Regions from separate parts of the Mus musculus genome. Here all the other regions are reported to be linked to region 1. Evidence: microRNA targets listed by miRTarBase, many of them from high-throughput screens and not tested one by one. Region 1 holds a microRNA gene; each other region holds the end of a gene's coding sequence. Distances are from middle to middle.
Evidence for each region. Region 1 holds the annotated microRNA mmu-miR-3470b (UCACUCUGUAGACCAGGCUGG, at 1,814-1,834, opposite strand). A microRNA usually pairs through its seed, bases 2 to 8, with sites in the 3' UTR of a target mRNA and lowers its output. Matches are read on the target gene's strand: a 7mer-m8 pairs with bases 2 to 8, a 7mer-A1 pairs with bases 2 to 7 and ends in A, and an 8mer does both.

Region 2: the mRNA of Iws1 is a reported target of mmu-miR-3470b. Seed matches in the 3' UTR shown: 8mer at 2,230-2,237.
Region 3: the mRNA of Pik3c2a is a reported target of mmu-miR-3470b. Seed matches in the 3' UTR shown: 8mer at 2,367-2,374.
Region 4: the mRNA of Dtx3l is a reported target of mmu-miR-3470b. Seed matches in the 3' UTR shown: 8mer at 2,002-2,009.
Region 5: miRTarBase lists Chek2 as a target of mmu-miR-3470b. Seed matches in the 3' UTR shown: 8mer at 3,258-3,265.
Region 6: the mRNA of Psmd9 is a reported target of mmu-miR-3470b. Seed matches in the 3' UTR shown: 8mer at 2,180-2,187 and 8mer at 2,488-2,495.
Region 7: the mRNA of Pla2g2d is a reported target of mmu-miR-3470b. Seed matches in the 3' UTR shown: 8mer at 1,973-1,980.

Annotation. Positions count from the first base shown.
Region 1 is chr16:44,011,652-44,015,718 of GRCm38, reverse strand. Mir3470b (microRNA 3470b) reads right to left here and starts at 1,867; the gene lies at 1,742-1,867. It overlaps Gramd1c (GRAM domain containing 1C), which reads left to right. Exons shown (of 17, transcript NM_001359085.1): 6 at 2,682-2,797.
Region 2 is chr18:32,097,071-32,101,137 of GRCm38, reverse strand. Iws1 (IWS1, SUPT6 interacting protein) reads right to left here. Exons shown (of 14, transcript NM_173441.3): 14 at 1-3,988. The coding sequence ends at 3,857. Among named protein-coding and RNA genes, the nearest start is that of Iws1, 31 kb to the right of the region's middle.
Region 3 is chr7:116,336,514-116,340,580 of GRCm38, forward strand. It overlaps Pik3c2a (phosphatidylinositol-4-phosphate 3-kinase catalytic subunit type 2 alpha), which reads right to left. Exons shown (of 33, transcript NM_011083.2): 33 at 763-3,710. The coding sequence ends at 3,528. The region is part of intron 1 of Gm10589 (a long non-coding RNA gene); the gene reads left to right. Among named protein-coding and RNA genes, the nearest start is that of Rps13, 4.4 kb to the left of the region's middle.
Region 4 is chr16:35,926,041-35,930,107 of GRCm38, forward strand. It overlaps Dtx3l (deltex 3-like, E3 ubiquitin ligase), which reads right to left. Exons shown (of 5, transcript NM_001013371.2): 5 at 475-3,328. The coding sequence ends at 3,259. Among named protein-coding and RNA genes, the nearest start is that of Parp9, 10 kb to the right of the region's middle.
Region 5 is chr5:110,872,950-110,877,016 of GRCm38, reverse strand. It overlaps Chek2 (checkpoint kinase 2), which reads right to left. Exons shown (of 15, transcript NM_016681.4): 15 at 2,877-3,537. The coding sequence ends at 3,451. Among named protein-coding and RNA genes, the nearest start is that of Ttc28, 4.8 kb to the left of the region's middle.
Region 6 is chr5:123,247,559-123,251,625 of GRCm38, forward strand. It overlaps Psmd9 (proteasome (prosome, macropain) 26S subunit, non-ATPase, 9), which reads left to right. Exons shown (of 6, transcript NM_026000.2): 6 at 735-2,568. The coding sequence ends at 762. Among named protein-coding and RNA genes, the nearest start is that of Wdr66, 4.2 kb to the right of the region's middle.
Region 7 is chr4:138,779,806-138,783,872 of GRCm38, forward strand. Pla2g2d (phospholipase A2, group IID) reads left to right here. Exons shown (of 4, transcript NM_011109.3): 4 at 443-2,247. The coding sequence ends at 588. It overlaps Gm32871 (a long non-coding RNA gene), which reads right to left and starts at 559. Exons shown (of 3, transcript XR_390866.3): 1 at 229-559.

The sequences.
Region 1 (4,067 bases):
TTGTTTGCTTTAGTTTTTATCTTCGGAAACGTCTATTATTTCAAAAAAAGTTTTTGTGAACGGTTAATAATCTAACACAGTTGTGCTGAAAAATCGCCTTCTTCTGGTAAAGCTATCTAACCATCCTTTTGCGATATGAAAACGGTTCCAATGATGATGTCTCTGGAAGACTTAGTTAATTCACAGTATGAATTATTGTTATGAAAACAGAATCCACACAGAATCTCTGGGGTAGAAGGCGAGTCCCTTTAGGACCAAGGACAGGAGCATCCTTAACTGTCACTAATGGGCCTTTATATTTTTCTTCTCTGGATATTCTACTTGAGAAGACTTCATCCGCTAAAAGGACAGTTGTAGGAAATAGAGAGCATCGCAGAGTTTGTTTTCTAGATGTGTGATTTTTCAGTTAGAGTTCTCCAACCTGGGATTTCTACTCCGCGTTCACATAATCAGCTGGAAGCAAAGAGGCATGTTTTTCTTAGCTTGCCTCCTTTATTGCAGGTTTTTGAATATTTTTGACATTTTTGAAGTGTAGATAATGACATCTGAATTGTCATCAGCTGGTTTTGTGGTCATCTTGGCAAACTGGGATATAGCTGCCGCAAGTCCAGACCATTTTCCTTTTAAGCTCCCTGGTTCCATGAAGTGTAAGGAGAGTCATCTAGTAAAAACCAGGACACAGAGCTGCTCCTGGGAGGAGGGAAAGGCGGTGGTGGTTGTTGTAGGGGCTGAACACCGGGGCTGAATTCAGGGCCTTTATACATTTGGCCCCATTATATATTTTTACATTCAACCTCTTAACTTTGAAACATTTCTCTGATTGGGCTAGGAGATGACTTACTTGCTAGCTTCATAACTAATGTTACTTCTGTCCATCTCTGCCCTCCCTATGGGTTGGTCGTCTTCTCTCCATCTCTTCTAGTTTTTCTTCACGAATCCGTCTGTCCTCTAGCTTACCCAGAAGCCTATCTCCTCGGTGGAGCCTCATCTGGCCACCTTGGTCCTCAATAATATTAACTCCTTTTGCACTTCCCTATCCCATAGACTCTTCCAGCCCATTAGCACATGATCATGTGCATCTGATTTAAGAGTGCCCTGTATCCTTCAGACATGAGTACTAAATTCGGAGATTGTTTTTATACCCTTTGGATCTAGAGCGGTGCCACAGGTTTCATTCCCAATAAAGACCTGTGGAATGGATGGAAGATCGTATTGACAGTTGCTTCAAGTACCATGCTGTCTCTCTCTCTTGTCTTGCTTAATCATGTAATTAATTGCAATGTTCCCGGAGACCAGTCTGTTACTATGATATGATGTTATTTTCCCAAATAGTTTACAGCTTGCTTTATTTGGTGATTAAGGTTTTTTTTTTTTTAAGTGGGTCGGTGTGTGTGTGTGATGCCCATGGAATCCCGAAGGGTGTGTCAGTTGGAGTTACAGATTTACAGATGTTTGTGACTTGCCTCATGTGGGAGCTAGGATGTGGCCACTGGTCCTTTGGTGGAGCAGCAAGCACTCTTAACCACGGGTACATTTCTCGGCTGTACTTGGTAACTTTACCACTGACATGCTGTCTATAAAGGAAGCAAGCTAGAATTTACTAAAAGTAAATTAGTATTCTGAAGGTTGTTTTCTTGCATTTTATATTTTAGGAAAATGTAATTTGGAGCTCATTGGTGTGCAAAGTTCTAAAAATGCTTAAAATATTCAGATACAATCGTGAATTAGAAGTTTTGGTTCTCGGGCATTGGTAGCGCATGCCTTTAGTCCCAGCACTCGGGAGGCAGAGGCAGGTGAATTTTTGAGTTCAAGGCCAGCCTGGTCTACAGAGTGAGTGCCAGGACAGCCAAGGCTACACAGAGAATCCCTGTCTCGGAAAAAAAAAAAAATTTGGTTCTGAGTTAACATTTAGGACAACTCTGAATTGTGATCATAGGTTGTATGGATTTCAGATCAGTAATTAGCAGAAATGATAAGTAACTTACTTTTATAGAAAAAAAATCACTTTAAGCATCTTTACTGAAGTGTACTTCTGCACAGTAGCCTCTTTAATACACACTTTGAAAACCCACCATTTTCTAAGTGGAATGTGCCTTTTAGTTTCAACTTCTTTGGAGAATAGCTCAAGCCCAAGATCGGCCTTGAGAATGTGGTTAAACCCTGTGAGAAACGATTATCTGTTTATCGATTTAACTCTTGGTTTAATTATTTATTCTTACATTTTTGCCTACATATAGGTCTGTGCACCACTCGTGCGCCTGAGATGGCCAGAAGATCCCCTGGAACTGGAGTCATAGGTGGTTGTGAGCCACCATGCAGGTGCTGGGAATCAAACCCAGGTCCTCTAGAAGAGCAGCCAGTGCTCTTATCCATGGGACTTCCTCTTGAATGTCTCTTATCAAATGGGCATATTTAACCTTTCCTTTTCAGCGATGGGGATGGAGCTCTGCAGAGCCTTGTGGATGATATGCAGTTCTCAACCACTAAGCTATTATGCCCAGCTCCCATTAACCCTTTTTTTTAAAAATAGAAAATAGGGAGACAAATAGGCCAGGATCTATCCGAGCCACACCTTGACTGCTCACACCACGGCTCCTCTGACTTTGGCCTTTGTGCTTTGAATTACAGTTACGTTATCTGTTGCATTTTCCAATAGTCACGCAATGTTTCTGTCATCTTAGAGCCTGACCAGACAGGAGTTCTGGCAACTGCTCCAGCAGAACTATGGCACGGAGCTAGGCTTAAACGCTGAAGAAATGGAACACTTGTTATCAGTTGAAGAAAATGTGCAGCCAAGGTACAGTGAAGCAACGTAGAGTGTCAAGGTGCATTATGGCCCATCACAGTGGGATCATTGTAGGTCGTTTCAGTTCTGAATTTCTTTGAACTCATCGTTTGGTGCGGTTTGCCCTCTTGTTGGTAGAGTGCAAGTTGGGAGAGAAGAGACTCATTTGCTAAGTTGGTAAGCACGTGTGGGACGTGAAGAAATGTTAGAGATGAGGCTATGACTCTTAGAATTTACTACTAGAAAGCCTTTTTATTAAGGATCTGGAGCAGGGGCTGGTGAGATCTCACAGGAGACACTAGAGCAATTTGAGGGTTAGGGTGGTTTCATGACTTTTCCTCAAAGTCTCCCTAGCACCGTGGCATGTGTCCCACATTCAGTAGACACCGATCACCTTAGTCAAAGGAGCTGACCGTGCCGTGGGGGATGCAAGCAATGGTAATGTCAGGGTCATGTGCTGCTATAGTGTGATAAAGAAATTAGTAGAGAGATTATTTGGACAGCTGTTCATTAAGAAGTGTGAATATTTTACTAACTCTCCAAGTTAAAAAAAAATGTACCTTATCAATGTTAATTGAGACCATAGCCTCAATAAACAAAGATAATACATTAAAATTCTGTAGCATTTTACATTAGGCTAAATGAGAGAAGCCAAGATCCAAGGACCATTTGCCTTTTTGGTTGGTTGCCTATCGGGTAGCGGCTGAGCCATCTCTGCAGCCCTCCAAATCTTATAATGTAAATATGTTGAAAGTCTGAATACATACACAGACGCTCCTCTCCTCTGGGCAGTCTGCTCCAACCTATGTTGTCTCAGTTTACATCAATATTTTTATAGTCTTTTTTTCACATGGCTACCCATGCATATTTTATAACTTTCCTGTAAAGTTCACATTTTTCCATTACCCTGCTGTCATTAATAAAGTTTACTAGTAGTCCTTAGGTACCGAAAAGGTGTAGAAAATCAGGTTACTAACGCGGAGAGCCTTGGGACCTTGAGAGTCAATAGGATCTGGATTGTGCTTTGTAGCTGAGATATCTCAGGCAAACCTTTGGACATTCCCAGGCCTCAGTTTCCCCATCTATGAACAGTTAGATTCAGTGGCCTTCAAGGTCTCTGCTGACCTGTGAACTTCGTAGCGTCTGAAGCAGGAAAGAATACGTATCTAGACCGAGTCTCTCATGCACATTGGAGGTCACCAGTGAAGCTGTCTTCTTCTCCGGGTGACTGTTTTCTAAGAAAATGTGGAGCAGGATCCTCGTGCCTGGCTCTCTCTTGCTC
Region 2 (4,067 bases), not on the chromosome of region 1:
CAGTTCTGTTTAAGAACCATAAGACTTAACATTGTTAAAACTCAGGACTTCCTCAAAAGGCAAATGTAACCCAATCTCTGTTGAAAACCCAATGACAGCTATACAGACAAGTCATACAAAACCTCAAAGAAGCCCAGAGTCCAAACATATCGAATGGAAAAGTGGAGGGGCCCAGAAGGATGGCTCTTCAGGTAAAAGTGTGGGCAGTGCAAGCCACATAACTCAGGGGGAAGAAGAACCTATTCCTGAAAGTTGTCTTCTGACGTCCACATGCAGCTGTGGGGCAGGCACGTACATATTCATACACACTTTCCCCTTCATTTCAAGGAATCCCAACAACCAAAACAATACTGGAGTGAATAAATCATATTACTTGACTTCAAATTTTACTATAAAGTTCCTGAAGTAAAAACAGGATAATGAGGATAAAACAAAACAAAATGAACTAAAAGTCTGGAGCAAAATATACAAGAAAACCCTCATACTGTCAGATACGTTTTGATAAGGGATCCAAGAGCAGTAAGGGTCAGTCTTTCAACAAAGATGTACAGAAATAAAAGTAAACTTTCTACAACATAAAATTATCTCAAATGGATCAGACTTAACAGTAGGGCCAAAGTTACAAAAGTCACTTAAAAAAGCACAAGGCAAAGCATTATCACCTATACATAGAAACAGGCTGGTGAGATAGCTCAAATGGTCAAAATCCTTGCCACTAAAGTCTTGCAACCTGTCTCATCCTTAGAATCCAAGTAAATAAAGGTCGAAGGCAAGAACTCCATAAAATTGTGATTTTCCATATGCATACCATGGTTCCCCTCCCCCCATAAATTAAATTCTAGGTTCCTAGAATAGTCTAAATCAGAGGCAGAAAGCAGAATGAACTTGTCAAGAGCTGGTGGAAGGAGCTAAGGTGTTTGTTGTTTGAGGCAGGATCTATGCAAGTCTTAACTGGTCTGGAACTCTCTATAAAGACTAGGATGACTTTGAACTCTGAAATTGTCCTGCTTCTGTCTGCTTAGTGCTGGGATTAAAAACGTGCACTACTGTGCCCAGTACAGCTAAAGTTTGTAAGATGAAGGTGGCTCATACCACTGTGAACCCAGTCAATGCACCTAAGCTGTATGGTTAAAAGTGGTAAAGATACAAATCTTTTGCCAAAATTAAAGCATTTTACAAACAAACCAAAAAACAACCCAAACCAAAAAGTGACTACCCAGCATTCCATACAAGAGGTCAAAGTTAATGTGGCCAATCTTGAGACGAACTGTCAAGTAGCCCAGGCTGGCTTTGTTCTTGCCATGTAGCCAGGCCAGGTTGGCAAGGTGACAGGCCAGATATTTGTGGTACTGGGGATGGAACCCAGACTTAGTGCGTGCTAGGCAAGCACTCTACCAACAGAGCTGTATGATCTAGCCCCTAAAAACCATGGGTTGTTTCTATTCTCAGACAGGGTTTCTCTGTGTAGCTCTTGCTGACCTAAAATGCAATCAAAGCAGGATGGCCTCAAACTCAAGAGATCCACCTGCCTCTGCTTCCCGAATGCAGGCATTAAAGATGTGCACTGCCCCGCCACAAAACATGTTTTTAAGAGAAATATGCTTAGATATGGAGCTTGAGAACAAAGGTTCTTGATAAACTATACTCACATGCTCTGCAAAAGAAATCTTGGATATAGAATATAAAATGTGGCACACTGAAAAATATTGAAGGGTAAATGGGAGCTAATTTTAGTGTTCTAGAAACTATAGTAAATGGAAACTATGAAGGCAATGAATGGGTCAAGCTTGGGGACCCCCCCCCCCCAATCCACACAGCAAAGGTAATTTATAAAGAAATTAGCATCTTTCCCTTCAAGTAGTGCAGAACCATCTCCTTCAATCAAGGGCTTATCACCTGCTGGTTATATTTACTCCCATTAACATGGTGTTACGTGAAGCTCATCCCAAGACACCAAAATAACTCTTAAAAACTTGCTTTACATGTCAGAACTGTTTTGAATTCATTAGATGCTTTTATTGTTTTTAGTTAATGAAATTAAACAAAGCCAGAGGTAGTTTTTGCCACCACCTAGTCTGTAACTGTTGGCTCTGTAGGTTTCTGCTTCACACTCCATTTGCTCTTGCATGCTGAGTGTACTTTAATGAGGCTTTATGAGGCTCTTTTCTTTTTTCTCTCTCTCTTTTTAAAAGACAGGGTTTCTCTGTGTAGCCCTGGCTGTCCTGGAACTCACTCTGTAGGCCAGGCTGGTCATGAACTCAGAGGTCAGCCTTCTTCTCCCTCCCAAATGCTGAGATTAAAGGTGTGTGTCACCACACCAGGCTTGAGAGGTTCTTATGGAGTGTTCTAGTCCATGAAGTCCACATTCCTTCAATTGTCCAAAGGCCATTGTGGCCAATAATAATCTATTTTTTTAAATCAAGGCTCCAGTTTGTACTAGAAGAGGACTTAAGTAATGAATGAGTTACTGATAAAACTTTCTTGATCTATAGAAATCTCTCATGATTAAGAATTCTCAAAACCAAGTAAGAAACTATAAATAGTTTCTCCTTTTTCTATTTGTCCAATTGCTATATGTAACTAATTTTCAATTATATCTGTATTTTCTTAACTTTTTCTCCCCACAGCTTAACTCTTCAGATTTAAACAAACAAAGCATCTCTAACAAGAGAAATAAAAAGTATGCTTGTTGTATTTCCAACTCTACTGAGATACCATCTTTATTTGAACAGTCTTTGAGTAACTCAAAGTTATTGTTGGAAGAGCTCCCAAAATTCCTGCCTCTGCCTCCAAAGTGCTGAGATTATAGGCATATACAGTGGTATACAACACAATTCTGATACCAAATGCTCGGTGTTAGTGTAAGAATTGACAGTTCTAGGGATCAGATTTCCTCCACAAGACTGTCCCAACTTCAGACATAGACTGCAAGTGATATCTTTAGACCATGAAAATTCCAGGGTAGCTATAAACTTCCAGGCAAGTTCCCAAGAATTTCTTGGTTTAAAAACCTGCTGAATGACTCATAGAACTTGGAAAAGCACTATGTCTTTCAATAAAAGGTTATACTTATAACTGATCTTATTAGAAAAGATACAAATTAAGCCAACCAGGTCAATGAAGATTCAGGAGTAGTATGGAGGGTGGTGCAGAGCTTCTGTGCCTTTGTTCTCTTTGCACATCAACATAGTTGCAGTATCCAGAGCAGTTAAGAGTCTTGCCATGTAATCCAGGCTAGCCTCAAACTCATGACCCTCTTATTTCAACATCAGTCTCCAAAATGCTGGGATTATAGGTGTGCAAGGCACCTGACTTGTCCAGAGTTCTTTTCTTTACTATAGCTTCAATACAAAGGTATGGCTGGTTAATCAAACAGGCAATACGACTAGGTCAAGCATATTTCTGCTGACCAGTCTTAGAGCGAACTTAGGGCCCTACGATGTGCCAAATCAAGAGTATAACAAAGATAGTTCAAGAATTGTAAAGGTTTGAGATATTCCTTGTCAGGAGCCAGGAACAAAGGCCAGACAAATTCCTCATATCATACTTACACACTGAAACGGACTGGCTTTTGATCTCACAGAGAATAGTGTCTAAGACAATGATGAGACAACCCCCCAAAACCATAATGAAATTTTATTACGTACAGTTGATAGAAGCAGGAGTAGTAAGTACTCTTCTGTACAAAGCAGACAACTGGTCTTAAATACAACGGAGAGAAATGTTAGTCCTACAACAACAGATGATACAAATCGAACCATTTAGAGACACACTAAGACATTTAAAATTATCTTCTTTCTCCATAGTCCACTGTGCATTTCTTTCTTTTAGAGATGGGGACACGTCCCAGGCAAGATCACAATGGCATTTTATTGCCCTCGATGCTGATTTTCACTGCATGTGCAGATCTGCTTTTTTTCCTGATATCTGTGAACTTTCTCATCTGTTTATCCAGTCGACTGATACCTTTCTTGGAGGATGCCTGAAACTAAGATTGGGGAAAATTGAAGAACAAATTATTGAAATATGTAAATCTAGCAGTGAGAAGAGCCTGAAACTTAACAATA
Region 3 (4,067 bases), not on the chromosome of region 1:
TGCCCAGAGGCCAGAAGACGATATTGGGTAAGAACTAGAGTAATAAGCACTTGTACTTTGTACTGGGAACCAAACTCTAGTCTTCTACAACAGAAAGCCATTGTAGCACTAAGCCATCTCTCTAGCCCACTACCTGCAATAGTTTGAACTCTAGTACCGGCAAACAGCTTGGCACTCAGGCAAAACTCAGTTATTTCAAAGGATAAGCTTACATAAGCCATCTCTCTCTCTGAAGATTTTGGGAGCCAGAGGCTTTTTATTTAATGTATGAATGCTCTGCTGCATATAAATCTGCCCACTGGAAGAAGTCATCAGATCCTCTAGTAGATGGTTGTGAGCCACCATGTGGTTGCTGGGAATTGAATTCAAGACCTCTGGAAGAGTAGCTAGTGCCCTTAGCCGCTTAGCCATCTCAACAGCCCCTTAATTGTCCTTTCAAGGTCTTTATACTGGTTTTTTTTTTTCCAAATTATTAGAATGGTTAGAGAGCCAGTCTTGTGCTCATAATCCAGAATAAAGGTATGGTGTTAATTTGCACTTCCGAATGTGGCTAAGTGAACTTTCACAGACCAAGAACCATGCCTACAGAATTCACATCTCAGGAAATGATAGGCTGTAGCAGATTATCTAGACCTTCAAAGAATCACATTCAAATTCAGGATAAATTTTACAAACTCCTGGGTAAGATGCAATAATTATTAAAGTTTAAAACCAAAATACTGAATCAAGAAGGAAGGAAATGACAGCCAAGTTCCTTTATTTCAGAAATATTTTAATTGTAGTATAGTTATGAAGTCACATTTAATTCAATGAATATATTCCAAGTATTAATAAAAATATTATACATCTTAACTCACTATGCTGATATAATTAAAGCATTTTCTTCTTACAGGCGACACTAGTAATCACATGTATGTTTGCATTGCTGGTGAACAGCGTGTAAGTAAATGTGTATCATAATAGCAGGTCTTCAGTGTTTGTTTAAATCTGAGTTATCAAAAGTGAATTTTTTTAAATGTTACAATTCATGAGTCTTAGAAAGAATTAAACAATTTAAGGCAAGATTTTGAACTTTATATACAACTTTAATTTGAAAAAAAAGTACTTAAAAAAGATACACATGCTTTAACAACTCATTCCCATAAACACAGTAATATAAAGCATTGGTGCCAGTCTCATTGGATTCCTCAGAGAAAACAGGTTCTTGGGATGAGCGATCATCTTCAGATCCTAGAGCACTGGCAAGAACAAAGAATTCTGGCACAGGACTTGTATGTAGCAGACTTATTTTTACTTGAAGGTAGTTATAAATATGATATACATAAACATTAGTGTCTTGGCCTGTCTAGCGTTCTCGTTTTCCGATGTATTTTAAGGTGACTGTTAAGAAGCTCTAGAAGCCAGCTGACTATGGTGACTGCAGCCGCAGTGCACAGAGGCTACGTTCTTCCTCCCTATCACTGTTTTTTTGGTATGGGCTGAAGATTAGCATTTTACAAAGAAATAACTTACATTAAAATATATGTATTCTAATGACCAAAGAAGGCACAAATTGAGTAAAATTAAGAGACAGTATCACCTTTTGAATTCTTGTTAACTATACAGTATTACTTATAATATATACTTTTAGATATTAATCAGATTTCTTGTCACTGAAGTGACATTACATTTTTAATTCTGTTTCTGCTAAGATACACGGTAACAGATCACAAAAAGGTCCACGAGTCCAGTCAATGACGACCTTTTACAAACAGCATTTTTTTAAGTCTGGGTGACCCATGGAATGGAATTAGGTTTCTCTCAAAAGAAAAAAAATATTCTAGTGCTACTTACATCTGCAAAACTATTTAAGGAAATGTTAATTGTGGAAAAAGCAAACAACGGTGCTTAGATCTTCATTTCAATTATCAAGTAGACAACACAGTTTAATATAAAAAATTCACATACTCATACAGGTTTCCCTACAAATGGACCATAGTGTTAGGCACCAAATATTTCAAGTTTTGATTTTTTTTAAAAAATGTATTCCAATGATAACACTCTTAACTCTTAATTTAACTCTGTAAGCATCATCATTTCTGTCAATCACTTTGTACAGTTCATAAAAATTTTATTCTAGCGAACTGAATCCGATTGTCCTTTCTTGGTACCCTTCATTAAGTAGTTTGTCAGTTTTCTCTTAACTACCAAATTTGCTACATCTCTATTACCTTTCTAAAAATATTTGAACTTCTAACCAAGAAATTTATTATATATACATGTTTATCAAAACTAAACAAAATTATGTCTGAAATGGGGAATAAAAATGAATCTTTTTTTATTTTTTGAGACAGGGTTTCTCTGTGTAGCCTTGGCTGTCCTGGAACTCACTCTGTAGACCAGGCTGGCCTCGAACTCAGAAATCCGCCTGCCTCTGCCTCCCAAGTGCCGGGATTAAAGGCGTGTGCTACCATGCCTGGCTTTAAAAATGAATCTTATTCTTAATGGCTACTCCACAGTAACTTCACACTTCTCTCTTGCAATTTTCATTTCAGTATATTACAGAAAATAATTCTTTCATGTGAATGTACAATGTTTCCAAATACAGGACAGTTTACACAACACCTTCCATAAATGTCTAAATTAAACTCCTTATCCTGCCTGAGCACGTTACCAAACAAAATAGGGAATAAGGCTGAACAATTTCCATTTGTTTAATGAGGGAGTAAAGTATAAATACATGGAAGTGAAACTCCAATTTCAGTTCACACCCTTACAAATGATAATGGAATGATAGAATTTAGAATACTAATTTTGAATATCAATCTCATTCAATTACGGGGCAATAAACATTAAGTTAAATAGCTTAATAGTGAAAACAACCAGAAGTAGAGGAAATAGTATTTCTGTGGAGAAACCATTAGTAAATGTGCATGACTTGCTGTCCTCAGTAAGGTGAAAATGCATGAAAACTACTTGCTCTTTAATCAGAAGTAGAGTGCCAGTGAAGCATGTAGTTAAGTAAGGCACTGTTATTTACAACTTCAGTCATTGGCACTTACTCTGAAAAGGCTTTAACAATGAATAAAAATCGTATTTTTTTCTATTCTATAAACGACTTAGTAGTTCTCAGCATTCTGACTACTATTTGTGCTTTGCGTTTCAGCCTGTTGAGTAGCAGCTGCATCTTTCCTTTGGTGTCTGTGAACATACACAGTGGTAAAGGCTGTGAGGTGCATAACAAAAAACAATTTGCTGTGTCTGTGTAGGAAGAGTACAGACAAGGTGACCAAAATGACACAGTATTATGTCAAAGTCTTTTTCAGGACTTAGTATATATTAAGTTTGGGATTGGTAGCACTCAACAAAATAACTTTGAAATAGCAATGGCTTCTATAAAAGTTAGTCATATGACTGACAGTTGGTCCAACATGTTAAGTTTATAATTTCTGCCAAAGTATGAAATTATACAAAGTTCCCAAGTGTGTGTATGTGCGCATGCGCACACATTTATAACTCCTTGTTTCCAAAGCTCAGAAGTCGGAAGTTTATAGATACGTTGCCGCAGTCAGCTGATACCACTTAACTGTCTCTTTGCTCAAGTTGAAATCTTTCAGTGGCAGGGTTATTCCACCCAAGAAGAAATTCTCCCGCAGTGATTCTGCACTGAGTACACTCAGTTGAAGTTCTCTCTGCCTCAGAGTTTCTTTGCTGTATCCACTATATACAAGCTAGAGGAGGGGAAAAAGGATAAGGATTGGTTTCTTGGAATCTTTTCAACAAAATGTAAGACATCAGTCAAAAAGTGATGCAATGAATGGCACTGACTAGAGCAGCAGAAGCATGCTTTTAACTTCTGGTCTGTCAGTGTTTAACTCAGACACTGGGTAAAGTAGGACCAATCACTGTCAAAAAACAGATCCCCAAACTCTCAGTCATGGTTTCTGTGAGCTGGAGTGACGGGGAAAGAAAAAGAAATTACCTGGTGATTACCTTAAGGTGATCTAATCGCTGGAGAAAAAAAAAGAGGATAGATGGAAAGCAAGTTTGATAATATAATTTTAAAATTATCTTCCAAAAACAGATTA
Region 4 (4,067 bases), 8.1 Mb from region 1:
TCTCGGGCACTGCATACATGCAGTGCACACACAAACTTGTGAGCAAAACACGCACATGCATAAAAGTAAAACTCCTTTGTTTACTGAGGGGTGGCATGGTACGCATGTGCCAGTCAGGGGTGCCTAGCAAGGGCTGGTTTTTGCCTTCTACTCTGTGGGCTCCAGGCATCAAAACCAGGTTGTCAAGTTTGGCAGCAAGTGCCTTTACCCTCGGACCTAGCTCACTGGCTCTGTGGTCTACTTTTGTCTCTATAGCAACCTAAATTCACTAGGCAGAAAAAATATGGAGAAAAATGATTTTTTTTTCAATCAAAAGTGAAAACAATTAAAAGAGTTGTTTTGAGATGTTGGAGCTACACAAACACCAACCTAAATACCTCCACACACCACTGCATATTGTATGTGTCATAGGAAACACCCAGAAGTCCAACCTAAGGACACAGTAACAAGGAATGAGGGAAACCACACAGTCTGTTGTATGTAAGGACCTGACTTTATTTAATGCAGATAATAACACCTTGCAAAAGAAAAAAATCCAAATGTCATTGAGCCCTCCACCACGTGGAATTTGCATGTGCACACTGGATGAAATAAAAGATCCAGAACTTAACAGAAACCATTTTTTTCTTCTTTAGAGTAAATTTGATTACAAGATTAGAAGACAGAAAATGATCAGTTGGTCTTAATGATAAACACTTGGTGAATCATCCAAAGGGAAAGGTCCGAACCGGATGCAGAAGGCAGCTATGATGGTGCAGGCCTTGCACTTGGAAGGCTGTGGAAGCAGATCCTGAGAGCTCTGCCTAGGATACATGCAAGAACCTGGGCAGGAGGTGAGGCAGGAGGGTCAGAGTTCAAGAATAGCCTTGGCTACATAGGGAGAGGCCAGTCTAGGTTACATGAGACCCTGGCTCAAAAAAAAAAAAAAAAAAAATCTAAACAAACAAAAAAACCAAAATGGGGATGAAAGTAAAAGTTAGCACTTCTACTTATTGGTTATGTCACCCTCAGTGATTGACTACTGTGCTCTGTATATGAGTTTTCTGTTCAAAGAATAGAGCTATTAATCAGATTGATCCCATCAATGTTAAGTACTTACAGGATAAGTACTTGATTAATACTTCCTATTAATATCTGGCCAAAATGGTTTTATGTATGTGCATATGTGTCTTAAGGAGAAGGTTAGGGTGTCATCTACCATTTTGGAGAGTGGCTGGAATACAGATCACCAGGTCATTGCCTGCTGTGGTTTTCTTCTAACTTGGAGAACCACTTACAGTGAACTGTGATGTGCCATCCAGACTCTACAGTAGGTTGAACTTTCTCCTTTACTCCTGTCCAGGGAAAGGATTAGAAAGACTATATATGAGATAACAGACTGCTGGGATTCGCTCAAAGGATTAAAAAACAAAAAGCCACTACATTGCAGGTAGCAAATACTGTGAAATATTAAACTAAGGGAAGGCTATTTACCCGTTAAAACTTGAAACAATATATATTCTAAAAGTACAACATAATGTGTAGGGAAGAATATAAAAACTATGTTGCACTTCTGTGGCAGGGCAAGTGCATCCTCTAGGACAGGTTCCATGGATCAGGGGAGAGTAGAGCCCAAATTCAAGGCTTAGTCAGTGTCTAATCAGTACAAGTTGGGGTAAGAAAACTATTTTCCAAATGAATGTCACGGTCTCAAGTCATCTCTCTCCCGAAGATTTGGGGAACATATCTTTTTATCTATTCACTCCTCTGCTGAGCTACTAGCATCTTGAGTCAGGCAGTAGTCACACAGTATCTCCTAGGCTCTGTGTCCTGAAAAATATAAGTCTTTTTGTTCTATTTATTACCAAAAGTTGCCTCATCTCCTGGAAACTTCTCTTGCTATGGGTAGGGAAGGAAATATGAGTCTTTTCCAGCCAAACCTGTTTGTTGTTGTTGTTGTTGTCTTTTTTTTTTTTTTTTCCTAGACAGGGTTTCTCTGTATAGCCCTGGCTGTCCTGGAACTCACTCTGTAGACCAGGCTGGCCTCGAACTCAGAAATCCACCTGCCTCTGCCTCCCAAGTGCTGGGATTAAAGGGGTGCGCCACCACGTCCGGCTGCCAAACCTGTTTTTAAAGTTCCCATTTATACAAGGGTTTCACTTTCCCACTTACACAAGGGTTCAGGAAGAGATTAAAAAATAAACAACTAATGTATTGCTACAGAGATGGACATGAAAAAGAATTATGGGATGGAACTCACTGGCCTAGGGTTTAAATTCCAACATCAAAATCAAATCAAGCCGAACTAAACCAAACCAAATCAACCCAAACCAAAAAAGCTAAAACCAAAACCCCCAAACAAACAAACAAACAAACAAACAAACAAAAAACCAGGCAATGCCAGCACTCAGGAGGCTGATATAGGCAGATCTAAGTTCAAGACCAAGCTGGTCCACAAATTGAGTTCCAGAGCTATGCAGTGAGACCCTGTCTCAAATAAACAAAGCAAACAAAAATCAGGGAAGGTTCCATTATGTAAGGACATAGAAGATGATTACAGACTCACCCAACACCCCAACCGTAACACAAGAATGACGTCAGATTTCTTCAGCAAAAATTGAAATCCTATAAAACTATAAAGTTTTCTTTTCTATCTCCCCGCTCCCCAGTGTGTGTGTGTGTGTAGGTGTGTATGCAGAACAGAGGATGATGTTAGATATATTTGTTTCTGTCTTCCTAATATTTGTTTTGAGACAAGGTCTCACTATGTATAGCTGGCTGTCCTGGGACTTGGACACTGTAGACCAGGTGAGGTCTGGAACTCAGAGATTGCCCGCTTCTGCCTTCCAAGTTCTGACATTAAAGGCATGCACCCCCATGTCCCGATCCACCTTATTTCTTGAGATAAGGTCTCTCAGTGAATCCAGAGCTCATGGTTTTAACTAGGCTAGTTGGCCAGTAAGCTCCAGGAATCCTCCTGTCTCTACTCACCAGTGCTAAGATTACAAGTGCATGCCAACACACCAGGCTTTTCCATGGATAATTTCAGATCTGAGCTCATTTCTTCATGCTTTGTAGACAGGGCCATTCCCCCCAACCTGTGCCTGTAGAGTTTGCCTTCCATGAAAGAGTGCCAGCCACTCTAGAAAAGACTGGCAAACAGACTACTTAACATGAAAAATGTTACAAAGTCGTTCTAGAAACAGATTTTGGTCTGTACTATCCAGCCTCCTGACACATGTCTTTTGAGAGTGGACAGACATCTTCCCTGCAGTTTCCTTACTCAATGCCTTTTGCTTTCAGCTCCTCCTTGACACGTTTCAGGTAATCAGGATCAGGGTAGCCAAAACTGCAGGAAGAAAACAAGAAACACTTTAGCTTCTTCCCAAAGAATTCTTAAGAATGTGTATGACAGCTGGTTATTGTGGCACAGGTGCGCAACACTCAGGTGACACAACAGTCAGAGCTCTATGAGTTTGAGGCCAGCCTGAGCCACATAAGGAGACTTTGCCTCAAAACAACAACAAAAACTGTAGGTACTACTTACATTTGAGCATCTAGTATTCTGGGTTCCAAACATTCTCCGGCAATCCAGACAGTGACTAATATCTAGTCATCCAAGTGCCTGGCTGGCTGACCAGCATCTGTTTTCTAGACAGATTGCTTAAATTCTTAACTTATTCTAAGTACTGATGCACATAATGTTATAACTGTCATATTCTACAGAGGCAGTAGTAGTCATACACTTATGGGCAAACACACCAGAAGAAGGCATTGGATCCCATTACAGATGGTTGTGAGCTACCATGTGGTTGTTGGGAATTGAACTCTGGACCTCTGGAAGAGCAATCAGTGTTCTTAACCACTAAGCCATCTCTCCAGCCCCTGTGGGCTTTTCAAATTGGGGGATCTGAAAAGGCTTCATGATATATTTCTTTTGGATGCCAGAGGTAGAGGAATTCAGTCAGATTTCCTGGAATATATCTCCCACCATCTTGGGACCCTTTATAACTAAGACTTCTGCTACCATATATTAGTCTTGTGAGTTCAGTATCATTGTGGACTGATGGGAAGAGAGAGGCGAGGAA
Region 5 (4,067 bases), not on the chromosome of region 1:
CTCTTACACATGGAACTGCTTTGGCCTGGTAAGCAATGTCAGACACTAGCTGCTATTCTAACACATCAGTACCCAAATCCCTTTGCCCCCATCAGGGCTGCGAGAGAAGCAGGTAGCTTCACCAAGGCCATGGCTCCCTCATTCCTGGACAAGGTAGCTAGGACAAGGGCAGGGTCTCCCCGACAGTTTGAAGGGGTGAGGAAAACCATAATAAAACATCAAATAAATTGAACAGGAGTCCAGCCAAGGTCCCAGCCAGAGCAGAACCTGACTGGGGGAGGGGCCTCTGTAGGCTCATGGATCACTGCTGCTGCCACCACCACCACCACCCTGGAAGCCAGTTATTTTGCCATGGCCTTGATTGCAACAGCAGCCGCCTCCTCTGTCATAGCAGACAGCACTGTGATCATGGATGGAGTTTCCAGGGGAGCTCTGTGTGCATTATTGGAATATTACTAAATGCATTTTTTTTATTTAAAAGGTCTCAAAATTAAGATGAGTTCAACTCAAGATGGAGTTTGCTTTTGGTTTTGGTTTAATGTTTGGTTTATGGAGACAGAGTTTCTCAGTCCTGGCTGTCCTGGAACTCACTCTGTAGACCAGGCTTAGCCTCAAACTCAGATCCACCTGCAGCTGCCTCCAAGTGCAAGGATTGAAGGCGTGGGCCGCCACCATGCTGCTTAGCTACAGTTTTGAGGTACCATAAGGATGTTGGGAATTGAACTCAGGTGCTCTTGGAGGAGCAGCCAATGCTTTTCAACTTTTTATTTATTTATTTATTTTTGTGAGTCTCACATTATGCACCTGCACCCCAATCTCACTCATCTCCCCGTCCCTTCACATCCCCCTCTTCCCTTGCAACTTCCCCACAAACACACCCCATGGAGAGCATTTTGACACGGACACTATAGTGTGCCAGGGTGTGTTCTACAGTATACCTACCCTCTTGTCCACACATCTTGCAAATGTTCATTGCATTTAGTCACTGGTCTGGTTTGAGTCTTCTTGCTTCTGCAACACTATCAATACTGGATCCTCACAGGACTCCTCTTAGTTATCCTGTTGTTGGCCTGGATCATGGAAATCCTGCAGCTTTGGATCTGTAGGACCAGCCCTTGCACATGCTCCAGCAGCTCATAGATGAATTAGATTTTGGGGTGGGACAACTCAAAGCGCTGGATCTGGGTGGTAGCTGAGACAGATGGCTAGCCCACCAGCTCTCTCATATCTGCACCACCAGGGCAAGCTTTCTAGCACTGCCCTTGCTAGCTCACCCAATACTGCAGCTGGCAGTGAGGGGCTGGGCCAGCTCTCCCACTCACTCCCTCAGAGCTGGCTGTTGCCCAGACAAGGTGCAAGGCCACTCTCCCAAGTCCTGCCTGTTCTCATGACCTAGGACCTGCCTCAGGTGTTGAGGGATGGGGGAGGGCATCTCCACTGCACCCATGTCCCATCATGGCAGTGGGGCCAGCTCTGTGCTGCTCCTGCAAGGTGGAAGGCCTGCTCTCCTGATTGCTGCAGCCAGTCAGGGGTGGGGCCAGCTCTGGATATCTGGATATCAGCCCTTGGATATCTATGAGGTCTCTCCCACACAGCAGCCCAGACCAGGGAGGTCTGCATGGTCTATGTAGTAATATGATCCAAGAAATCAACAGGCCCCTGCTACTACATGACCACAGACCCAGACATGACCCGCAGTGACAGCATGACAACCAATGCTCTTAACCACTAGAGAGACATCTCTATCTCCCCCCTTACTTCTCTATATGTCTACCACATGGATGGCTGGAGGACCCAATTTAAAGCAGCACTCTATCACCTGCCTAAAACTGTTGGTGGGGTGGGGGTGGGGGAGATATTAATATCTGAATTTAATGTAGCCCCAGGAGTTTAGAGATGTAAACTGTACAGGACTGAGCATAATTTCTGTGTTTTATCCATTTTTTAAGGCAAAAGTCTCACTATACAGTTCAGGCTGCCCTCAAAGTCAATATCTTACTATTTCTGCTTCTCAAGGTCTGGGATGGATTACAGGAGTGTGAGAACCCTAAGGGATATGAATTTCAGACTGGCCTATAACAGGCAGCAGCACCATGGGCTCCTTGGCAGCCAGCCAGTACAAATCACCCAACATCCAGATGCCCTTTTCTTTCCAAGGGACTGAGTGTGTGTGTGTGTGTGTGTGTGTGTGTGTGTGTGTGTGTGTGTGTGTGTGTGAGAGAGAGAGAGAGAGAGAGAGAGGGAGAGGGAGAGGGAGAGGGAAAAGGAGAGGGAGAGAGTATGTTTAGAGAGAGAAAAAGAGTTTAGAGAGAAAAAGAGAGTTTGGAGATAGAAAGTTTAGAGAGAGAAAAAAGTTTAGAGATGAAAAGAGAAAAAGTTTAGAGAAAGAGAAAGAAAAGTTAAGAGAGAGGGAGAGAGAGGGAGAGAGTGTGTTTAGACAGAGAAAAAGTTTAGAGATAGAAAAAAAGAGTTTAGAAATAGAAAGTTTAGAGAGTTTAGAGAGAGAAAAAGAAAGTTGGGAGATAGAGAAACGAGAGAGAGAAAGAGTTTAGACAGAGAAAAAGTTTAGACAGAGAAAAAAAGAGTTTAAAGATAAAAGAGAAAGTTTAGAGAAAGAGATTGTTTCTCTGTGTACCCTGGCTGTCCTAAAATTTGCTCTAAAGATCAGACAGGCCTCAAAGTCAACTCAAACATTGTCCTGCCTCTAGAGTGCTGGGATCATAGGTGTAGATTACCATGGCCAGTGGGACTTGGACCTTCTAAGGGACTTTTAGAATTTGTATTTAGACGGATGAGCCTAAAACCAGAGTGACATCCTGATAGGGCAGACTGGCAATGTGAGGATCCAGATGAAAAGCCACAACAAACTACTAACATTGTTTTAGAATATTCTTTTTAATGATTATGTGTTTCTGTGTACATGAACACATGTGTAGTAGGTGACCAGAGAGGCCAGGTGAGGGCATCCGATCCAGAAATGTAGTTACATGGGTGCTGGGAACTGAACTGCAGCCCTCAACAGGAGTGGTGTTAATCTCTCAACACCACCCCCTAACATTTTTCTTAAAATGAAAGAAAGAAAGAAAGAAATCTAAAGTGCAGGTCATCAAACAATCAGCCCAGATTTCCACGTTTTTTAATCGTGTATCTGTGATGGAAAAGCAATTGTTCCATCATATAGGCTATTTTGTTTTGTTTCTTGTTTGTTTTTTTTTCCAAGACAGGGTTTCTCTGTGTAGTCCTGGCTATCCTGGAACTCACTCTGTAGACCAGGCTGGCCTTGAACTCAGAAATCTGCCTGCCTCTGCCTCCCAAGTGCTGGGATTAAAGGAGTGGGCCACAACTGCCTGGCTATATTTTTTAAAAAATATATACATATAAAAAAAAGATGTCAAGATGGAGAAGACAATTGGAGCGTGGAAGGAAGCACATTTCTTTCACATTCAAAGCTCACAACACAGCCCCACACACAGACAGGCGTTTTGTGCTCGGCATACCCTCCACCTCCAGTTCCAGGGGCCGCTTTTGACTGGAAGTCTGGAAATAAAGCAAAAGGAGAAGTGTTTAAGAGAAAGCACAGCTTCTATCAAAGCTCCTCATAGTTCAGTAAACTAGGGGCATTTCATGGAAATGACTAGTTGTCATGACAACCGAATCCTCCTCACACACCTCTGGAATCAAGATGCTTATCCATGCTCCCTGGCGATTTCTAACCACTAATAAATGTACAGCCACTTAAAAAAAAAAAAAAAACCTTTCAAGTGACACAAAAGCAAGTTCAAATTGGATCTTTCCTAGCAAAATTCTGGGTGAGGTATGATTGTAAAGCAGCCAGAGCTCCCGGCTCCCACAGGGTTACCAGGGAGCTCACACACGCTACTGTGCCACACCAGCTATTATCGTTAAATGCACTTTCTATTTAAAATGCCTCCATTTGAGATGAGTTCCTCAGAATATGATCCCACCGTAGGCTGAAGTATATCCGAATGTGGACAGCAGGCAGCACCAACAGCTTTGCTTGGTTGCTGTCTCCTGACACTGTCTACTTATAGCTACTTAGACTTTTC
Region 6 (4,067 bases), not on the chromosome of region 1:
AGAGAGTGTGCTCAGATAGAGCTGGGGATGCTGGCACCCATAGAGAGTGTGCTCAGATAGAGCTGGGAATGCTGGTACCCATAGAGAGTGTGCTCAGATAGAGCTGGGGATGCTGGTACCCATAGAGAGTGTGCTCAGATAGAACACTCAGGTCCACTAAAGGATAGCCATCCCCAGAGTGCAGAAACTGGTGGTTAATAACCGTTTTTATGAATGAGGCTACAGGCAAGAGTCCTCAGGTCACCTGAGAGTCTCACTTCTCAATCCCTGGGCATTGTCTTTAAGAGAAAGAAAAGTGACCAGTGCTCAGCAGGTAAAGGTCTTTCTGCAAATCTCTGACCTGAGTCAGATCCCAGGACTCACTTGGTGGAAGGAGAGAACTGACTCCTGCAGGCTCTGCGTGCCACACACCCAGACTCTCTTATATACACAATGAAACACTGTAAAATATACATTAAAAAATACAATTCTAGCCGGGCAGTGGTGGCGCACGCCTTTAATCCCAGCACTCGGGAGGCAGAGGCAGGTGGATTTCTGAGTTCGAGGCCAGCCTGGTCTACAAAGTGAGTTCCAGGACAGCCAGGGCTACACAGAGAAACCCTGTCTCGAAAAAACAAAAACCAAACCAAACCAAAACCAAAACCAAACAGTCTTTAAAAGAGAAGAAGTGTTCACCTGCAGGTTTCCTAGGCTGGAGCTGTCAGGCTTGAGCCGGTCTCTGTTTTCTCTTACAGCTGCAACATTATTCCTCTCCAGAGATGACTGTTTCCTGGGATCTGCCTGCAGGAAGCTGCCTCAGCTGGCCCCGTGCTTGGGCCTGGAGGCGTTTCCTCGTTCTCTAGGCTCCCTTAAGTGTAAGGATCTGGAGAAGAATGGTCGAAGCCTGGGCATCGAGGTGGAAGAGACGCTTTGGCTGCCTGATGTAATCTCTCTGGGTTGAGGCATTATTAAAAGTGTGATTTGTGCCTAGCTACGTCTTGTGCAAATTAGGCCATAGCCTGTCTGGGAATTCTCTAGATTATGAGCCAGTGAGTGGGGATGACTCTGGCGAGTAATGATTTGATGTCATTTTCCTTTTGGAGACGGACTCAGTGTGTAATCCTGACTATCCTGGAATTCCCTGTGTAGACCAGGCTGGCCTTGAGCTGACAGAGATCCCCCTGCCTCTGCCTCATTAGTATTGGGATGAGAGGCATATACTGACATGGCTGGCTAGACTCTGAGGAATATGTATTATACATATATAATTTATACTTATTTTTGAGAATTTCGTACATGCACATAGTACATTTCTATATTTCCTGTCATCTCAAGTCCCTCTCAGACCTCCCCTCGTACCCACTTCCCAGGTTCTTGCCCTCTTTTGTTTTTTTTCTTTTTAAATAAATAACCTACTAAGTGCCATTTGTGCTGTCAGTATATTCATGGTGTGGGATCTTCCACTGGAGGAATGTGGTCAACCTTCCAGAGACCACACCCCTAACCTCCACAGGACTTGAGTACCCCTACTTTTTCTTGGAAGCAGGGTCTCATGTAGCCCAGTCCAGCCTCAGATTTGCCTTGAAGCTGAAGATGTTCTCTTCTGCTGTCTCTCCCTCCAATGTCCAACTGCAGTATCACCCACCGCCTAGGGGTGGGGGCTTGCTGGAGACCGGATCTCACAAGTTCAGACTGGCCTGGAGCTCAGTGTACCCGCACTGGCCTTACCCTTGGGATCTTGCTGCCCTGGTCTCCTGGTATTATAGTGTATGCCACCAAACCTTGTTACAGGTTAGAGAAACTGTCAGATAAAGCCAGTCTTGTAGCTGTGTGATTGTGACCACTGTCAGTCCCACCAGGATGCCCTGTGAGCTCACAGCCAAGCCCAGGAGGAGTTGGGAAGGAAGTCCTGCGAAGCAAACGAGTTCCTGGGCCGCAGTCCGGTTGATTCTTGGGTGGGAAACTGAAAGCCGGAGCTCAGACTCTAGGCAAGTGTCCCTCCGTGGGCTGAGCAGCTGGCAGTCTCTACCCTGGAGCAGTGCTTTGAGAGCCTGATGCATCCTCTGAGGCTGAGGCTGTGGAGTCACCGTAGCCCCATTAAGAAATCAGCAAAGACCAGGTGTGGTGGCTCAAACGTTTTAATCCCAGCACTCAGGAGGCAGGGGCAGGCGGATTTCTGAGTTAAGGCCAGCCTGGTCTACAGAGTGAGCTCCAGGACAGCCAAGGAAGGCTACACAGAAAAATTCTGTCTCAAAACAAAATTTGCAAAGGTCACAGGTCACGAGGCCTTGCAGGTTACCCAGTATGATATTGGCTTCCTCTTCAGTAACCCACTGGAAACCAGCAAGCTTCCTTTACTTCTACAGTAAAAGACCCCGCAGATGGGCCTGATTTGGCTTTTATAGTTGAGCCTCCCCACCGGGCGGTGGTGGTGTACACCTTTAATCCCAGCACTCAGGAGGCAGAGAGAGGCAGGCAGATCTCAGAGTTTGAGGCTAGCCTGGTCTACAGAGTGAGTTCCAGGACAGCCAGGGCTACACAGAGAAAACCTGTATGGAAAACAAAAATAAAACAAATTTAAAAAACAAACAAAATTGAGCCTCTTGGGATCAGCATGGGAAGCTAAGGAGTGCTTGCCTGTTGCTGAGGTGACTGCATTGATGGATGCTGCTTTGCTGCTTCCTTTCATATTCTGTCTTTTGAGATGGTAAAATTGGTGTGGGTGACTCTGTTTTTCTTCCTTTCTCCATGTGCCCCAGTTATCTCCCCAGTTGCCTCCCGTTTCTGTTTTGGATGTCTGGTCCTTTCTACAAGGAAGCTTGCGTCCTTGCATTGGATTTCCGCGGGATGGAGGCAGAGACCAGCTTTGTCTGATGGCAGTCAGTACTGACATGTGCTTCCTGCTTTGAGTCCGCACACACAACTCAAAAGCCTCCCCTAAGCTGCTTCATCCAGACAGCCTCACGCCACCCCTCTCCCGTAGCCAGACTGGCTCTGTTTACTAGGGTTTGCTGTTTCAGTTGTGGGTTATAAATCCAAGTATTTTCCAGACTCTTTATAAGTCTCACACTGTAATAAAACACAGCTTGTACCATTCAAGAGATAGGCATGTGATCACCAGCACTGGGGCGTGGTGTGGTGGTGGACTTGTCCATAGTCATTCATATCCTCTCTAAGAGGCTGCAATAGGCCTTGCACTGCTCAGAAAGCCACCTTTGGGCTCCCCTATGACTTGCTTCAACAGGAATAACGCTAATGGATTTTTTTTTTTTTTTTTTTAAAGATTTATTTATTATTATATGTAAGTACACTGTAGCTGTCTTCAGACACTCCAGAAGAGGGAGTCAGATCTTGTTACGGATGGTTGTGAGCCACCATGTGGTTGCTGGGATTTGAACTCTGAACCTTCGGAAGAGCAGTCGGGTGCTCTTACCCACTGAGCCATCTCACCAGCCCCAACGCTAATGGATTTAACCAAGCTGGGCTTGCGTGGTAACAGCAAGATGGTGCACTCTCCACATAACTTCAATCCCAGTTTACTAAACTTCTCTGCATGCTGTGTCCTGGTGAGAAGGTGGGCAGTTGTGTGTAACACCTGTGAGGCCAAAAAAATTGGGTTTTAGCACTGGGAGAATTTTATTAACTGCTTCATACCACTTCTTGCCTGGCTTCCTGGAGAGGCATGAGCACACATCTGTTCACCTTGCACTGATGGCAAACTGAAGGAACCCACCCAAATCAGCCCTGTGAGCCCGTGAGCCTCCTGGGGTTGCTTAGAGGCTCTCTCGGCACTATGGATATACAACTCGCAGGCAGCTAGCTCCACTGAAATCTCCTTTCACACAGTAAAGTCTTGTGTAGTCCAGGCTGACTGAACAGACCCTTCTGGCTTCATCTGCCTAGTTCTGGATTTGTAGGTGGGACATCATGCCTGGCCCAACGTCTAGTTTTTTGTTTTGTTTTGTTTTTAAGATTTATTTATTTATTTATTACATGCAAGTACACTGTAGCTGTCTTCAGACGCCCCAGAAGAGGGAGTCACATCTCATTACGGATGATTGTGAGCCACCATGTGGTTGCTGGGATTT
Region 7 (4,067 bases), not on the chromosome of region 1:
TAACACCTCACCTTAAGGTTAATGGAACTGCGCACGCGCGGAAGCTAACACAGATGCTCTCCTTGTGGAGACGCTAGCAACCCCAGCTTTCAGGAGGAGCGGTGGTCTGAGCTGGGGATGGCTCCTTGACATGCCTAATCCTCCTACAGGCTTAGATTCCCCACATTTCTGCTTGGCCATGTTCATTCACTCTGTGGCCCTCTGCCTCCTGCCTTCCCACCTGCTCACCTGGTTCAGCTTTCTCCCTCTAGCATAAGCCCCGGAACGGTGCTCAACGGTTGTTCAGTGTGCAGACGCGAGATTAGGTAACAGAGTATCCAATCAAAGAGGCTATCTCCAAAGATGACCAAGCACCACGTTGGTTTCAGGACCCCTTCTGCACCCCACAGGCAGTCTCGGGAAGGGACACATGCTGAGCCGTTCCTGTTTTTTTTGCCCACAGCTGACAACGGGAGCTGGTGTGAAAGGCAACTGTGTGCTTGTGACAAGGAGGTGGCCTTGTGCTTGAAGCAAAACCTGGATAGCTACAATAAGCGCCTGCGTTACTACTGGCGGCCCCGTTGCAAAGGCAAGACTCCAGCATGCTAAGGGAGTCCACTCTGTCTGTCCCCTGGATTCCACCCTGTCCTGGGACATCTCAAGCATTGAAGTCCTGCAGCTTGCTGCCTCCCACTCTGGTGTCTAGTCTCCTGGACCAGCTGGCTTTTCAAGGTCTCCTTGCAAAAGGGCCTGGCCTTGAGGACTTCCTCTTGGTGCCTTTCTACTGTAAAGGACCCTTTTGATCTTTCTAACGGTGACACTCCTCTCCCTTCAAACTCTGGTCTTTCTGGACCAAGGTCAGAGCTCAGCCCTCTGATGCTGTGTTCTCCCCCAACTAAGCTATGAGACCTCTAGGTTCAGCCCTGCCCCATTTCAGATTCAGTGGTACCCTCTGGTGGTACCTTGATTCAGGAGTCCCCTAGAACCAAGCCCATTATGGGCTCCAACAACAACGGGATTTAAGGGTGGGGGAAGTTGCAGTCTTGTTGCACTCGGTGGGTCCTGGAGCTTGGCCTGCTGTTTCTTGCCCGTTGTGCTTTCGCTGGGATCTCTTGCTGCATAATAGCTCAGGCTCCGGGGCCGTCCTTTGGAAGCCTCTCTTGGCTAGCCATTCTCCCCAGCGCTAAGGACATCATTGGGCTGGACTGTCTGGGTGGCATCACAGCCCACATTTCTCCTGAGACCAGGATGATAGATGTTCCAGTACTTTGTCTCATCCCAGGCCTGGTTTCTTTCTCTGGAAACTTTCTCCAAAGAGCCCTCTTAATAAACAACTTTCACAAGAGCCCCTGACTCAGGCTCCACCTCTGGGGAAACACGTTTTAGCAACATTTATAAATTCCATGACCTCTCTCCCTCCCAGAACCACCGGCCTAATTACAAACCTCAGAACTTTCCTTAGCTGCTGCAGCTAAGGAAAGTGTGTTCATTAGTGGCAGATTCAGGAGCCAGAATTCTTGGAAGATCAGCTTCCCATATGAACATGGAAGGGGGACTAGGGTTTGAGGGATAGCTTTGCTGAGTATCCTTTCTGGCTCAAACTGACCCAGCCTACCTTCATCCCTGCAGCTATTGGCATTGAAGGGACTCTAGCTAGCCTAGACCTGGCAAGCATGGCTCTGGCAGGCCTTCCCCTTTTCCCCAATTCTCTCTGCCTTGCTAAAACAAAACAAAACAAAACAAAACAAAACAAAACAAAACAAAACAACAACAAAACATTAGATTGCATTCCTAAAGCTAGCCCCCAAAGTCTCTTCCCTTATTTGGCCAGTTTCTCCTCCTTAGGCTGACTACCAAGGTCCCCTATCAAAGTATTGAAGTCCAGCAATCAAAGGCCCTCTTTGAGGCCGGGCAGTGGTGGTGAATGCCTTTAATCCCAGCATTTGGGAGGCAGAGGCAGGAGGATTTCTGAGTTCAAGGCCAGCCTGGTCTACAGAGTGAGTTCCAGGACAGCCAGGGCTACAACAGAGAAATCCTGTCTCGAAAATCAAAAAAAAAAAAAAAAAAAAAAGGCCCTCTTTGGTTCACCCAATACGCCCAATCAAAACATACCAAGGCACCCAGCCCATTCTAACACAGACCTCCCCTTTTCCCGATTCTTATAAATTACACCTGCAAGGTCATTTGCTGCTGTTTTTCTGTCTGAGTCAGAAAATAGCCACTTTAACTTTTCTTCACCGCTTAATAAAAGGTCTCTCTGTGAAAACCGGTCTTTGGATGTGATTTGTGACTAATTCAGGGTCTGGGAGGGAGCCCCACTATGAGAGGGTCTCCTTCAGGGGTCACCAAGGTCCCCATGGTTGGCCGAGCTGAAGTAGCATCTGAAACAGAACATAGGTTGGCAAAAGGTATCCCATCCAGCAGGTCCGGCAGTTATTTGCCTGGCAACAACTGTTTCAAAGAACATCTGTTATTCTTGTGTGAATAGCTGTGTTTCCAACCTCAGGGCTGAGGGAACCAGAACCGCCCACACCCTCCAGCTTGTGACTCAGCATAACAAGACAGAGAAGTTTTCTTAAAACCCCAGTGAGGCAGAGTACAAAGAAGTCCCCGCTATGGGCTCTGGGTTCAAATCCCCACAGTTGAAATGCTCATTTTAGTGGGGGTGGGGGGTGCGAGAGCAGGAAACTGTGCTGGAGACGGAGCTTATAATGAACTTAAAACCGTCACTTTATTTATTTTTAAAGTCTGCTGAGAAAGACGTCCAGGCTAGGCATGATGGTGTCTAAGTCTGAGACAAGAAAATGACTAAAAGAAAGGAAAGAGAAAAAAGAGAAAAAGAAAGCAAGGGGAGGCTGGAAATTGGGGGTATGGTGGGGGTAGGGTGAGGAGAGCTTGGCTCCCGGCTTGCCTCTTTGGTGGCTTGAAGATGTCTTCAGAGCCTGGTTTCTCTCCTGCCCCTGGCTGGGCTACGCTCACTCACTTTGCCAGTTTTCCTCCTGGGCAGGCTCTCCGTGGCTCCAATAGCAGCCATGGTTCTCCAGACCTCTAGACACTGAAGTGGCCTGGCCTCTTCCACCACAAAGCCAACTTCCCCTAGGGACGAGCCCCCCTGAGCCTGAGCTAGCTTAAGAGAGGAGGGATACCCTGGTTGGTTTAGACTTCCATGAATTTAGTTGTCCCTGAGAAGATGTGCAGATTCCGCTCGTGGTCCACACTTGGATGGTCTGCGGACATCAGCTTTGAAAGCCCGTGCCTTGTCTAGAGCAGTTACAAAGTAGCAGCTCCCTCTATTGAGCAAATGCTCTGGCCAGATGGCAGAATCTTACTGCGCACACACACAGAAACCACCTTGTTCAGCAAGAGACGCAAGGCACAAAATGATAAATACTTATCTCATGCCTGGGAGAGAGTCTTGCAGAGGAACTACAAGGTAAATCAGAAAGGGGTAAGACATCAGCCATATTAATCTGGAGATGTAACTCGGACAACAGAGTGCTTACCTAGCATGTATGAAACCCTGGGTTCAACCCTCACCAACAAATAAAATGAGGTATTGCAGCGCACAACCGTAATCCCAGCACTCTGGAGGTAGAGGCAGGAGGATTAGAAGTTCAAAGTTGCCGGTTGTTGTTGGTGGTGGTGATGGTGGTTCACACCTCTAATCCCAGTACTTAGGAGACAGAGGCAGGTGGATCTCTCTAATATTGAGGCCAATCAGATCTAAAGAGTGAGTTCCAGGACAGCCAGGGCTACACAGGAAAAACCTTGTCTTGAAAAACCAGAAGGAGGAGGAGGAGGAGGAGGAGGAGGAGGAGGAGGAGGAGGAGGAGGAGGAGGAGGAGGAGGAGTTGTTCAAGTTCATCCTTGATGTACTGGCTGGTTTTGTGTCAACTTGGCACAAGCTGAAGTTATCACAGAGAAAGGAGCCTCCCTTGAGGAAATGTCTCATGAGATCCAGCTGTAAGGCATTTCTCAGTTAGTGATGAAGGGGACAGGACCCATTGTGGGTGGTGCCATCCCCGGGCTGGTAGTCTTGGATTCTATAAGAAAGCAAGCTGAGCAAGCCAGGGGAAGCAAGCCAGTAA